Linked DNA regions of Saccharomyces cerevisiae S288C. The gene in region 2 interacts genetically with the main gene of each other region. Each region holds a gene or a part of one and is shown on either strand. Other genes may lie near its edges.

What was found.
Region 1: mutations in RTT107 (region 2) and DST1 together harm fitness more than expected from each alone (negative genetic interaction), as found in Saccharomyces cerevisiae (3 studies listed by BioGRID).
Region 3: mutations in RTT107 (region 2) and REV3 impair growth when combined (synthetic growth defect), as found in Saccharomyces cerevisiae (3 studies listed by BioGRID).

Annotation. Positions count from the first base shown.
Region 1 is NC_001139.9:415,541-418,934, reverse strand, and holds DST1 (transcription elongation factor DST1), read right to left. Parts: upstream 1,453-3,394; coding exon 523-1,452; downstream 1-522. Other genes in the region: DPC13 (Dpc13p), read right to left, coding at 1-110; YGL041C-B (uncharacterized protein), read left to right, coding at 49-231; RNA15 (Rna15p), read left to right, coding at 1,899-2,789; RIM8 (Rim8p), read right to left, coding at 3,205-3,394. UniProt on the Saccharomyces cerevisiae protein: Necessary for efficient RNA polymerase II transcription elongation past template-encoded arresting sites.
Region 2 is NC_001140.6:401,433-406,730, reverse strand, and holds RTT107 (Rtt107p), read right to left. Parts: upstream 3,766-5,298; coding exon 553-3,765; downstream 1-552. Other genes in the region: SPO16 (Spo16p), read left to right, coding at 4,049-4,645; SPO12 (Spo12p), read right to left, coding at 4,776-5,297. UniProt on the Saccharomyces cerevisiae protein: Required for resumption of chromosome replication after DNA damage, specifically in S phase. Is recruited to chromatin in the presence of RTT109 and RTT101 in response to stalled replication forks and acts as a scaffold during DNA repair.
Region 3 is NC_001148.4:232,071-238,764, forward strand, and holds REV3 (DNA-directed DNA polymerase), read right to left. Parts: upstream 5,038-6,694; coding exon 523-5,037; downstream 1-522. Other genes in the region: MRX4 (Mrx4p), read left to right, coding at 1-439; ATG29 (Atg29p), read left to right, coding at 5,268-5,909; SET6 (Set6p), read right to left, coding at 5,886-6,694. UniProt on the Saccharomyces cerevisiae protein: Nonessential DNA polymerase. Required for DNA damage induced mutagenesis. Involved in DNA repair, mitochondrial DNA repair and translesion synthesis.

The DNA.
Region 1 (3,394 bases), on a different chromosome or scaffold from region 2:
GAAATCCAGGAAAGCCTCCTTAAACTCCTGGTGTGATTAGTGGTAGAAATGTTCGATAGTTCTATCGAACGAGTGACTCTGGAACTATGCTTCCATATAACTCTTAGCATTATGTGTGGCTGTAGTATCTACTTTCTGCTTCTTGTGTTTATTCTAACTTTTTATTCGTCGGTTTTGTTACATCTTAAATTGTATTTCTTTAGTTCTGACCGAGCCATATTTAATGCATAGAAGATTAATAAAGAAAACATGAAAATCATAAATAATTAAAAGTAACTGGACGAACAAAAGATTTTACGTGAGACAGACAAAAAAAATTAACACCAGCAGTATATGTATATATGTACATCGTATATGAATATGCCATTTCAACAAATTGGATATGGTTGTATGTTTGGCTTTTTCTTTTCCTGGATTCCGGCTGTCAAATACTACTACGAATAGAGTCAGAACAGGCTTTTCTGTCCCTTCCTCCTATTGTTTCCTTTGCTCTGTCCGTGGCTACTCTCATCTTTTTCTATTCTAAGAGAATTTCCATCTGTTACCACATGCTTCACATGTACAGAAAGTGGTCAATGGTTCATCCGCAGATCTTGTTTGCAATTGATAGTAAGATACCTTCTTCTCTTTACATTTACCACATGTAAATCTATCGGTGACTGACCTTTCTATGGTGGCACCCTGTGCGTTGTATAAGTTTTGCTTGGCAATTTCTTCTATCTTTTGCTTTAAGGGCGCTGGTGCCAGATCCTTGGCATCGCATGTAGCTAAGAATTCAGGTGTTATATCACCGTTGGCAATTTTATGTTTGAGATCTGGGTTATTCTTTGATATGACGTTTGAATAAATTATACGATACCTGGCTTTGTAAGCGGCTTCGTTGGTGTCACAGTTGTTAACTTTATTCATTTCACTTTCTATGGCCTTTGCAGTATGCAAAATAGATTGAGGTGGATGCTCACTTTCCTTGGCCAAAACGTCGTAGAGTGCTTTTAGTACCTGATCACGTAATTTGTGGTGGTATATAGCTGTATCCACACCATCGTTCTTACTATTTCTTGGTTTAGTGCTGACGTACTTGTCTTGTTTCATGGCATCTGACTGGGAGGAGGCCGGCTGTTGAACACCATTCACGGACTCACCTACAGTTGTCTTGTCCTCTGCATTGCCTGGCGCATGATCTTGATGATGCTGCTGTGCTTGCCTGGAACGCTTATTTTTATTAATTGCGTCTTTCCAAGAGCTAATCATTTTCTTCACGAGTTTGCTGATCTCTACATTAGTGGATTTTTTAAACTTGTTGACTTCCACACCAACTTTTGTTTCTCTCAGTAACTTTTCAGTGGGGACGAATTCTTTATCCAAGACATGTAAGATTTCTAGAACTGCAGCATCATTACTTTTGTTCTTTTCTAGATTCTTAACATGTACCAGTACTTCCTTACTATCCATGATGAATGCTCTTATGCGGACTGACTACACTGTGAATGTTCTGCTGCTTGAGTAATTTTTCATTCAATATTTTTCAATACGTAGTCCCATCATCGAGTGATCACTTGGTCATATCAGCACAGTGGGGCGGGTAAGAGTTGAAAATTTCCCTATAATGAAATTGGATATTATATATCAAAAAGGCGTTGTCATTCGAAGCATCGTTTCAAAAGAAGGTCCGTAAAGTTAAGGTGGGCTAGTGAAGTATCTCATAATTGTTACAATCACCATAAGAGAAATCTTGCGTTTAGAATTTCCTAAGAGAACCGAGTCACTTCTAGCACTTGCTTTAAACAGAAACACTTGTAATAATTGTTAGAGGGATATACAAGAAAGGCTATATACCAATAGCATCACATAGACACGTTAATTATCAATACATTGAAAGAAAAGACGAAAACGATAAAATGAATAGGCAGAGCGGTGTGAATGCGGGGGTACAGAACAACCCACCATCCCGAGTGGTGTATCTGGGTTCTATACCATACGATCAAACAGAGGAGCAGATACTTGATTTATGTAGTAATGTTGGGCCCGTGATCAATTTGAAAATGATGTTCGACCCCCAAACTGGTAGGTCGAAAGGGTACGCGTTTATTGAATTTAGAGATTTAGAGTCCAGTGCCAGCGCAGTACGTAATTTGAATGGATACCAATTAGGCTCTAGGTTTTTGAAATGCGGTTACTCCAGCAATAGTGATATATCGGGAGTTTCACAACAGCAACAACAACAGTACAACAACATTAATGGGAACAATAACAACAATGGAAATAATAATAATAATAGTAATGGGCCGGACTTTCAAAACAGCGGAAATGCCAATTTTCTAAGTCAAAAGTTTCCAGAATTGCCCTCTGGTATCGACGTTAACATAAACATGACCACCCCTGCTATGATGATATCGAGCGAACTAGCTAAAAAACCGAAAGAGGTGCAGTTGAAATTTTTACAAAAATTCCAAGAATGGACAAGAGCGCATCCTGAAGATGCTGTTTCGCTATTAGAGCTGTGTCCACAGTTGAGTTTTGTTACGGCTGAATTATTGCTAACGAATGGGATATGTAAAGTGGATGATTTGATCCCGTTAGCTTCCAGGCCGCAAGAAGAGGCATCGGCTACGAATAACAATAGCGTGAACGAGGTGGTGGATCCAGCTGTGCTTAACAAACAGAAAGAACTACTGAAACAGGTGTTACAACTGAATGACAGTCAAATTTCTATCTTGCCCGATGATGAAAGGATGGCTATTTGGGACTTAAAACAAAAAGCATTAAGGGGAGAATTTGGTGCATTTTGAAACTAGGGAGGCAAAAATACAAAAAAAAAATGCGGTTCCGCAATGATGAGGCAACAATCTATCATATTTTCCACGTGAGGGAGCTCAAAGTTCGGTATATAGCTTACATCTCAATATCACAATCACTTTTTTTTTTGACGTCTTTATAAATATAGAATAACGTTTACGTTACTGCTATTTTTTCGTTTCTTATCTCAGTTTGCCTGAGGACGGCTATAGTTTTAATCATTAAACGTATATTAAGTACACATGAACATATATAAATCTCAGGTTTGTGCATGCTTCGATTTTTTTTTTCTATGTTAATGTCATGGATCATTACGTGGCTGGGATAGTGGAAATATGCAAACATGATTAAGGCGCCTAGTTCCAACACGGCGCAAGCTGCGAGTATATGACTTGTTACCTGCACTTTTTAATAGTCATCACAAGGGGGAGGATCGCTTTCTAACTGTTGTAGTCTTTTTTGTTCAAGTTCTTGTTTGTCTTCCGACGGTACACTGACTTTATCATTTGGCGAATACTTTGGAACTGGAACATCGTCACTATCATATGCATTTAATGGGGCCAACCAATCTCTTAAATTCGATGGAGAATTTTGAGGA
Region 2 (5,298 bases):
TCTGACGTAAATCTATGGATGTAACCTGTTTAATTATTAGATCAAAAAGTTCTTACTAACGTTAGTAGTTGGCTTGAGCCATTAAATTTTGCGTCATTAACATTGCGGATACTCTCGTAATAATATACCTAAAATACACTAGGTTTGGAACATTGTTCTTGACGCATTGAGTAGAAGGGCTCTCCGCTGTGTGAATATCTCAGAGTGGAAAATTGTACAATAGAGTTGCTTTACGCATTCTGGCCATGAATCTGTTTTTATCCATGAAATTGTAGAAAAATTAAAAGGTTTGCGGATAAAGTGTGGAATAAATGATTCTACTCACGGTACTATTTGACCCTTTGTATCCTATATTAGAAATGCTTTATTAAACAATCTAATTCAAAGACAGTACCAAATAATTGTTTCTAACTAGACATTTAAAATGGTCTGTTAATCATATGTGGGTTGTTTGTTGAACATAAGATTTTCTACAACGCATCTTTATAATTATTATATATTTATTTGTTATCAGTGTCGTATGTCAGATGACGTAATATATAGTGTCCATTTTTAGTTATTTTTCTTTTGATACAAAACATTTTTCTTTGATGTAAAATCAACATTGAGATGAAAAATTGATTCAACACACCAATTCCATTCAACAATCAAAATTGTTTCGTTTTTATCACGATCATTAATCAGTTTGGTAAATTTTTTAACCTGTGAAGCTTTGGTGACGATAAGTACGTATTTAAAAATGCCTCCGTTTTCCTGCTTAGAAACGTCATTTGGGATTATGTCTTCAAATGTGCATTTCTTACTACGTAAAACGTTGATTTTTTCGATACCATGTGCCTTTAGAACAGAGCCTATTGTATCTACACCACCCGGTATATCATTGACTAAGTTAATGCATCTAATATTCGCTCTTTCGAACACCTTAGTAGGTAGTTTGGTTTTTGATATTATACTCTCATTAATTCCATTTATCTCATAATCAAACAAGTTTATATTTATTTGAGAAAGTTTATCTTTTTTAGAATGAATTTGTTTCAGTAAATCAATAATAAATTCAGGTTTCAATGCGAATTTTAACGGTTCAAAACTTAAGCTTTTTAAAAATTTCTCGGTTCTCAAAATCTTTGGAGCAAAAATACAATTCAATTTATCCGTTTCTTTAATATTGTCAAAAATTTTTATACCTAGTTGGTTCAATATTTCGATGTCAACCTCATTAAATCCATCATGGAAACAACCGGTGCAAACCGCTTTTAGGTCATAATTTGGTAGTTCATTAAATCTAGCTAATATCTTTTCCGCTTTAGTAGCCAGTTCTTTGTTATTATTTGACCTTTCAACATCTTGGGACAATGAAATCTCCTCGCTATCAATTCTCTTCCTTTTAAAGTTTTTCTGAAATTCATTTAATGATTCAATATCTGTATGCAATCTCTTCGCAGCTTGTGTCTTTGCTAACCTTGAATTGCCACTTGATGGCATAAAAACTTGCGTTTGCGCGGTGGTTGGAGTATCAACGCCACTCGTAATATTTTGAGACGTCTTGGGTGTGGTATATTTGGAATTAACTGCCGGTTTTTCGTCATTAATGTGATCATCATTATCAGATAATCCTTCAAACAAATGCGAGAATTTATCTGTATCTTTTTTAGAAGTGACGTCTTCCGTAGAAATCAGTTTTCCTGTACTTTCCTCCCCTTGCTTTTCATTCGTCATTTGATCTACTTCAATGTGACATTCATTGGTTTCTTTCTCCTTTTCATTTTTCTTCGAAGTTTTGATCTCTCGTTTAGTTCGTTGTCCTAGCTGAACTTGCAGCTCCGTTTCTTCCTCTTCTTTTTTATAATCTATGTCATTCTTCTTGCGTGACTGTTCCCTTATTTCTTGTTTCTTAGGTGCATCATACTCCGTAATAGGTTTCGTAAACTCCTTTTCTTCTCTTTTTTCATGTCCTTCACAGAAAACCTCTGTTTCCATACTAATATCTGAGTTTGAGTCTTTCTTTTGTAAATTAGATTTTTTACTGTCAACTACTGGAAAACTTGCCCTTGAAGGTCTGGAAACAAAACTCCGTTCTAAATCTCCAGAATGGGTTACAGCCACCTCTCCTGATATTTTTTGTAATTTGTCAATCTTTTCATCAATTGAGTTCTCAAAACTACTAATGGGCGTACCATCTTTCTTTGATAATACATTGGTGTTATCGTTAATTTGATCCATTTGATCATTTGTGGGAGGCGGCTTCTCTGATATGGATTGCGTGTCGTAAGTCACCATCGATAGGTTTTTTGGAGTTGGGAGAGATGAATGATCCATTCCTATTTGGCCGATATTCCATCCCATGTTATCATCCAATTTAAAATTTTGAAATCTACTGTCTTTGGGGTTTAACTTGGAATTATTCATATAACATTGCTCTAACCACATATGATTTGTCACAATAATGGCATTTTGCGGGTCCAGTGACCATTTTTTTGCGACTTTGAATTTTTTGCCAATTGTACTCTTCGTGATCAAGTGTGTGTTTTTTCTTGTTAGTTCAGGTGTGCTAAGTCCTCCTAATATTTCTACTAACCTCTGAATATAAAACCTTTGGGAGCCGAAATAATTAGTGTACGCGACTGTTAATTCCTTAGAAGTAAATAATTTCGCATGAAATGGTTGGTGAATAAGTTTACATTGCGATACAGGTGTAAATTTTTGCAGCGCAAACATATAAAACAACCAACTTACGTTCCCAACATGAATTTCCGGTTTAATGCTTTTGGTTTTTTCTAGTATCGGTGAGTTAGCAGAGTGGCCGATATAACAGTCAATATCAGGAAAAGCTTGGTAAACAGACTTCAGATCGTCAGAAAAACTCAACGGAGTTACTTTGCCGTCCAAATCCTCGATAAATCCTTTCAAAAACCAATACAAAGGTGTGAAAAAGTTTAAATCTGGTGAGATAGCAAAGTGGTGATTTTTGAATAAAGTTTTGTTTGGATGAAGAGTAAGCTGCGATGATGATGTCTGCTTATCGCCAATAACCTCTTCCCATTTTGCGAATAACTGTTCCTCACTGGTGTCCTGCATATCAAGCTCACACAAAGTAGCAAGCTCGCCCTTCAAGGGCTTCGCCATTTTGAAATGATATAATATCCATATTGGATAGACAAATTTCCACTCTCTCAAAGGCTTTTCGGTGTGCTTGTTGGTCGATGAAGAGGAAAAAGAGCCAAATGTCAATTTACTGACCGTTGCTATGATCGGGTCCTGGGGACTTTGAACAATCACATGCGTCGTTCTATTTGAGATGTAATTGACTAAAGTGCCTCCTAATAAATGAAGCAAATCAGAGTATAATATGTATTCACACTTATTAAACGAGCTTTTGGAAATATATACTTGACAGTCTCGGAGCAAATGAAATGGGTTAGGTGAATACATATTTGTCCTCAAATGTCTCTTCGTCTTGACCGAATCCTGGACCCAAGTGTGTGATACCACCGGGATCAAAAGATCGAAATAAACTATCTTATAAAAAGGAAAGTTGATTGTATTACTAATGACAAAATGTACTGTTTGCGGGCCGAATTTGTTCATGAACCAATCTTTATCCGTCTTGACATCTTTCAAATTTTCGTTATAAAGCTCGTATATTTGACAGTTATTGCATGAATTATCCATCAAAAGCTTTCTAGTAGAGTGAGCGATGGGAAGCTCAGCCTCTGCTGCCACTAAAATTAAAAAATTTAGCTGCTCAAACAGAAGTGATGTGCTCATGGATCGTATATTTACCAGTATGCTACCTCCTTGAAATCTTGCCCAATAACCTAATGACTTCCATTGAATATACAATATAGAACATTGTGATGTATTTATTTATTGGCAAAAAATGTGACGCGAAAAACAACATTAGATGAGTGAAAAAGAAAAGTCACATCTGATATAGCTTACCCTGTTAACGCGTGAAAAGTGGGCGGCTAAAACCGAGAAAATACGAAATAGTGTAAAGGTTCAAGAGAATAAACTTCTGGAACAACATTTCTGGAATGGTTCAATAGAAATGTCTGAATTCTTTTGGGATGTACAAAAAATACAAGAGATTTCTAATGTCGAAGAACATTCTGTGGTTAAGTGTGTTACTGTGAATACGAGCAGGTTAATTTCGCAGCTTAACGAGGAGCTACAAGACGAAGAAAGTGGCGTCAATTTTATTGTTACACAGCTGCAATTACTGATAAATAATGTCTATGAGAAAATACAGAAAAGCCCTGGAGTTCCCGCACATCGTTCTCTGATGATAAATTTGAATTTCACGCGCTTGAAATTCTCAATAGCTTATTGGGATATCTTATTGGAGAGGTCACTAGATCTAATAAATGGACCATCGAAAACGGGTGCCCGCTACTTTATTACAGAGGTTACACCAGTAGACAGAAGTCGATATGTTGAAAACAATCAATATTTTCTAGCTTTTAAAGCTAACCAGCGTTTGACACGGAACAGCGTGGATATGGACGAGTTTATTGATTTTGAAATTCTAATCAAGCAAATAATTTTCGACCTCTTCAAAAAAAACGGAATTCCAGATCAAGATTTTGAAGCCATTTTATCAAGGTTTCATAATTTGGAAAGCTTGGTGGTTGCTTTTAATGAATAATAAAAAAAATGTAAGAAAAAAAAAATCAGGTATTGTTGAATTATTATTTACTTATTCTTTATGTACTCGTTTGCTTATTGGTTTAGTGTAGCATTTGGCTATTTTTGGATGACTAGAAAGGCAGATTTTTTTAGTAGAAATACTCCTCATCTTCATCGATTTCTACATCCTCTGAATCGGCAGCAAGGTTGCCTTTAAAGTTCAGTTTCATAGGATTGACTTTCTTTTTCTTTCCGAACATCTTAACTTTGTGCTCATTCAATTTCAATGAGCATGGTGATACCAGCCTGTCAGTCGGTGATGCAAATCTTTGTTGTAGTTGGAGTTTCCTCTTCGGATCCTGTTTTAAAAGATCCCTTTTGAACATTGTCTTTTTTACCAAATTGCTAGTGGTGTGTGACGACTTCAAGTTTGAAGTGCTTTTTTTCCTAAAAATTCGAAAGGCCGCAATCTCCTCCTCTAAATTAGGTATATTCTCTTTATTGGCGTCCTCTCCTGTCTTCGCCGATTCATTGTAATTATTGATGTTATTGTGGTGATGGTAGTTGTCGTTGTTGCTGCTGCTGCTTCTGGTGATTGTGTTTTCTCTGGTAATATCAGTCTTGAGGATGGAAGCCGTGCGTGCTGATTGGTCACTTGCCTTGTTGGACATA
Region 3 (6,694 bases), on a different chromosome or scaffold from region 2:
AAGTGTATTTTTAGGTTCAAACGGAGGAGGAAAAAAGAGTAAAACTACTAAAAAAGTACTTCAAGGGAATAACATATTGTTACACTCATTAGAAAACAATAAGGATATGACCCTGTCAAACAACTTTGATCACAGTGTCTTTAACATCAATTTTACGGACTTATTTGGCGTTATTAATGCATCTGGGTCCCCACCAGATAGAGTTTTGAACGAAATTAATGAGATCGAATTAAAAGGTTGGAAATGTGTGGGGAACTTATACGATAATAATAAAATTGTAGTTTTTCAAAGTAGCAATCCACTCTTAGAGGATACGAAGATTCCTCAAAAGTCTTTCACTAATTCAAAGAGATTCCTTATTTCACTCTCAGCATTGCTGGCCTCCTTTTTTGCATATTATAGATACCGTCTATCTCAACGTCAAGAATCAAAGAAATGATTTTTTTCTTTCTTGTATATAACAACGTTATACATAGAAACAAATAACTACTCATCATTTTGCGAGACATATCTGTGTCTAGATTACCAATCATTTAGAGATATTAATGCTTCTTCCCTTTGAACAGATTGATTATCTCTCAAGTATCTTTCTGCTTTGACACGAGAGTAAAATACTGGACAGTCATATGAATTGCATTTACTAGCTATATGGTCATTTTCGATGCCTGCATCGGAAGTGTAACGATAACTGCACGTCCTGCACACGGTCTTTAGTGTTTGGTATTCTTTTTGTCTCTTTAATTTCTTTATGAGAAATGATAAGGTTGTGGTGCTTCTTTTCTCTAAACAGTCATCACATAACTGAAGTGAACATATTTTAGTCAATTCTTCACCACAATTACAACATGTTGCAGAAGTTCCTACTCTTGTTATGTTTTCCACTTTTGTAGTAGTTGTGCTCGCCCTTTTGGATTTTACTATTTCCTGAGCCCAGTTGCCAACATTTATACCAATCAAATTGAACAATCTATCAAGAGGAGGTATCAGAATTTTGTTTATATAATACTCCGAATCTAACTCTAAATTCTCACCTTCTAAGAACTCTTCTGGTGATACGCATCTTTCCCGAAGCAGTTGTCCTTGCTTTCCTTTAACAACAAGGTAAGGTATACGCTCCTTGTATTGGGGTTCTGCTCTATGGTCTTCATTTATTCTTCTTTTTACAACCACGGCACCTGCAGGGGCTGTCTTTTCGCTTTTATACGCTCCTAATTTAACTTCTTTTGCAAAACAAAAATCTTGGGCAGATACCTTTCCTATTTGAATCTTAAAAAATTCATTTTGAAGATACTTTTTTATTTTTGACAGGTCTTTGGTTTGAAAAAGTAATCGAATACATTTTTCAATAATCTTCTGCTGGGCTGGGATACCATCCCTTCTAACAGTTTCAATACCCTTAGCATCAAAAATAGGAAGGGTCTGCGAAGGACTTTCATAGGAAAATCCTACGTACCTTTTTTTGCTAATTAATATGGAGGGATGGTATACTTTTTCAAACTTCAAAAAGATTGGTTTTGGATTGTTTTGAGTAACTCTTTCTGCCATAGCATGTCCTATAGAAAAAGCCTCAATAGCAGTTTTTCCAGGTAGATATACAAATAAACTATCTGTGTCTCCATAGACAACTTTGGCGTTCCAAGTTTCATCTTTCTCAATAATATCTATTGCTTTCTCCAATGTTTCTCTGCCTGTTTGTACAATGCTATCAGCTAAATCAGAGCATGGCATTCGTCCAGAAAATGAAGCTGATGTATAACCGTAGGTGACATTCGCCAATAATTTTAGTGCTAACTGTTTGTTATTCAAAAGCCTTTTTAGGGTAGTGTTGTCATCACCTATTTCGTTCATTGTTTTCTTTATCATCACTCTGACATCAAGGATATCTGTTAACATTTTGGATAACGTTGATTTTCTAACAGAGGTCTTGGCATAAACAACACCATTTGGAGCGATAGTTACATCATTTTTTAATAAAGCTAAAATGTTTCTTGGTAATGAAAACTTAGATACTCCAAGGTTATTTTCCGTTAAGTTTATTTCTCGCACTCTTCCTATCATAGTCGAATAGCAATAGTTGTATCCAATCATAATGGATGGATACAATGATTGGAAATCCAGCACAATTAAAGGACTTTTGTAGAAAGCAGATTCTGGCTCCATAACCAAAGGCACACATTCAAGTGCTTTTTGCTTACGAACATCCTTTTTGCCTGGAGAAAGAAGGATAAAACTTTCGGACTTGCATATTCGGATTAAAAAAGACTCAACTTTAAATTGTGATCCTCTGTAATATACAGAATGGAAATCTATTCCTATCAATCTTGCCTGTTCGATATTTCGAGCAATGTAATCCTGCTTTCTTAATAGTTGTATATTTATCTGAGCTCTTGATAACCAATAATTTAACACAGTCTTTAATTCGGTTGTGCTCTTTTTAGCGTTCCACATATTAGTTAATGACTCAAATGAAAAGTGAGGTAATCGTTTATGGAGGATATTGAACGCAGCACTTTCAATAGTATATTGCGTTAAATTTACGTCGGACCTCAACGCTCTCCATATATTAATCATATGTCTTCCGGTAATCATAATTCCTGAGGAATGGGCATATCCCCAAGTATCTGACAACTTCGTCTTAATTTGGCATTTGACTCTGGCAAGTTCCCTGACAATGTCAAATTGATGTATTTTTTGACACCTTTCAATTATATAACCCCACGAAAAATTATGTATTTCGAAACCGGAAAGAATATCAGGATCAAGAAGTAATACCAAATCAGTTAGAGCCTCAAACATTTCAAATTCACTTTCATAGAACATCACGGGAATTTCGTTAATACAATGTTGAATTTTAGTAGGAAATGTACTATCCTCAGAAGCTTTGTGGACTATCATAATCCCTTCGTAAGCGATATCCAAATCTAAAGGGAAAGTTTCTTCTTCAAGACACCATATAATCATGGAAACTTCATCTATTGCAGGGTCTGGAATTTTATCACTTCTCGTGTTTGCATGAATCTCAAGTGTCAGATGAGTAAGAGAATCGTGAACGCTACTTTTTTTTCTTTTTTGTTTTCCAGAAACGTCACTAGCAAATTTGTATAAAAACTTACTATGAGGGGTGTGCATGCTTATCTGAGACTCAGTTTTTTTGTTTCCCATCGAGGGTACTTTATTGTACCATTTTTGAACAGCATCATACGTAGGTGGTTTTAACGCATATTTCCAGGAGGAAAACATGTCGAAAGTTGGCTTGTTATAAACTGATACGGTCTCTCCCCCAAATTGGACGGGTATTCTCGTTGATACATGTGTCGAGCTTATTTCAAACCTCTTACCTGCGTACGCGTAAGGTTTATTTTCTAGATCAACTGGATTCGAAAAGAAAGGGTCCTTATAGTCTATTTTTGGGAATCCCTCGTCTTCCAATTTATTCAGAATATCTTGATAACCGAAAGGAGGCTCACCATAAACAAAGGCTCTTTTTCCATAGCGTAATCCCGCAGCCATAACCTTCTTTCTTTTCCGAGACAGCAACGATGTTTTATTAGCAGAAACAGATGATCTAAGTTTTCGTTTACTTGCCATATTTTGCGTCATAGCACAATCCATTGAAAAATTTATCGTATTGTGATATTTTGTTTGATGATCTAATAGTATAGTAGAATCTTTCGGAGACGCAATGCTTTCCGGTAACCATGAATAAGACCGAGACTTTATATTGCTTCCTTTTACACCTTCGTTCTCATTATCAACACCACATATCTCGTATTCGGTGAACGATGCATTAACTTGGTCGTCGTTCTTTTTATCTTGCATACTATTATTGTTTATTTCAATCTGTGGAAGCCTTGGCCACAATTGCGGTAATGCTTCATAGGGCGTATTTATGGCTGAGAATTTTTGATTCTTATCTATAAAGTTCTCAAAATTTGGTATTTGACCATCAAAAGTACTTGTTTTATGTTGTGCTTTCTTATAAAACGCTTCGAACTCTCCAGAAGATTGCCATTGATGACCACTCACATGGCGCTTTGTTTCTGGTGGTTCTTTATATTCCTTCAAGGACAACTCCTCTCGTTGCATGGTAAGTTCATTTATCATGTCCCTAGCAGAGGATACATATGGTTTGACAGGTATGTCAGAAATATCTCCCAGTTTTTCCAAAAAGTCGTGATGTATATCTCTATGCTGTAACTTTTCTCTATTTTTGATGAATTGCGGTAGTATATCTATCTCAATCAATCCATTTCCAACCCGTGGAAAATCCCTTCTACTGAGTACGTTACACTTGAAGTCACAAAATCGATCTAGTAACAACTGAAGATCATCATTAATTGTCAGCTTATCTATGTCCAGTATACTATTTAAAACAGGAGAGCGAAAATAACACCTATCCACGTTTATCCATGAACATCCAAATAAGTTAAAATCTGCGGTCCATTGTAGCAAGTAAGGAATATGTGATTCATAAATTTCGAATTTCTTTCCGAAAATCTTGCCATCTCTAATCAATTCCGAAATCCTACTTAGACAAGAAGGATTAAGCAAAGAAATTTTGTAAAACAGATTCCAGCCAACGTGGTAACCATAAAATGGTATACCCTTTACAACAGAGACATCAGCGACAAAATTGAGATTTCCAAGTTTGTCGCCGGCTAAATCGTGTTTATCATCTTTTTTCCTTTTAAAGGATGCCCTAATTTTTACTTCCAGCGTTTTATGAACTTGGGCACATCTTTGGTGTCTCAATGTACTCGTGTCAGTTATTTGTCCATCATACTTGATGAACATGTAAGGTAGAATGCCATGGACGTGGCACAATACTTGATGCCCTGTGGGTAAAGCACCAAACACCCTGATGTTTGGGACCTGTGAAAACTGGTTTAAGGGCAGGCTTTCACCGTGCGATGGGTCCAAAAAGGTGGGTTTTGACATATAGTAGTCTTGATTATTTAGCTGGATTCTAAAATAGTCTGATTTAGAGGATGATCTAACCGTATCGCTCTGTATTGTGTCGTTCGACTCCCTCGACATTTCCAAACATTTTATTTCGCCACAACTTGTAGTTTTGTATTGACTCAAATACTTTCTCTTGTTTTGTGCTTCTATTACAGAGATGGCTTTTTTCTTCAAGTACACTATTTCTAGACGCACTGCACTCGTCAAAAAAATGATTCAAGGTGAAAATAAAGGGGTGTTAGTGAATACTTATCAAGAAGAGACATACATAATTGTACTGCTGTGCATTTTCCTACTTGACTTTCATGATTATGAATAGTACAAACACAGTTGTATATATCAAAGTTAAGGGTAGGAGACCACAGGGATTCTTGGATCCTCCCAAATTTGAGTGGAATGGAACAAAGGAGCGACAGCTTTGGACAATGGTATCAAATTTGAATTATTCACAAGATCAAATAGATTGGCAGAATTTATCAAAAATATTTGAAACGCCTGAATTTTTTCTTAAAAAGAGAACATATAAATTATTTGCTGAACACTTAGAGCTTTTACAACTACAATTGGAGAAAAAAAGAGATCTTGAGAAGTATTCAAATGATCAAGTGAATGAAGGGATGTCTGATTTAATACATAAATATACCCCTACTTTACAAAATGATAATCTATTAAATGTATCCGCAAGCCCACTGACCACGGAAAGACAGGATTCTGAAGAAGTTGAGACAGAAGTAACAAATGAGGCGTTACAACATTTGCAAACTTCCAAAATTTTGAACATTCACAAGAAAACATCGGATAGTGAGAATAAGCCTAATGACAAATTGGATAAGGATGGTATTAATAAAGAAATGGAGTGCGGTAGTTCAGATGACGATTTATCTTCGAGCTTAAGTGTTAGTAAATCTGCGTTGGAAGAAGCGCTAATGGACAGATTGCAATTCTGATTTACATCTTTCACAAGCACAATCAAAAAACCAACTGTCGGCCAAAAAGGCCCGGCGTTTTACTGTTGGTAAGTCCAGTACCCCGGAATAATCGATACAGATCTGCTCATCCTTTTTTATATCTCTATTCATAGTGAATAGCATTGAATTACCTTTACGATATTTCGTTATATTGGGGTTACAAGAGTGGTTGAAATAGGAGGCTTCTGGAAATACCCAGTATCCAAAATATTCTCTGCTGTCTGAGGCTTCGCCCTCTTGCCATAAACCAAAAGCATTCCCATATTCAGTACCTAATATATGTCTCAATAGCGGTATGGAGAGCATTCTATGCAAATGTGAAGGTAATAGAATATAGAGTGTTTGAAATACTAATTTTTGAAAGTGCAGTAAGACAGGAAATTTAGATATTTTGCTAAGCTCATTCGATTGTAACATATTGAAAGCTCGGTATGTTATGCACTGAGGATCCATATATTTAAGATTAAACAAACTCTCGCACACAAACCTAATGCAGCAATATTCATCTTCGCAAGTGGGTGGTAATTGATTTATTCTCTTCGCAGATTTCATGTTGTTGATGCGCGGTATCCATTTACTTTCAATCTCATCCCATGAAGACTGTATGACATTTTCCGAAATTAAGATAGAGTTTAATTTTTCCTCCTGTTCAGAGGTATAATTATATCTTTTCAGCATGCTTGGAAAATGATGCAGTAATATCTCATAACATTCAATTAATTCAATGATATTTGGTATTTGAAGATAAGAAGTTCTGCAATGTT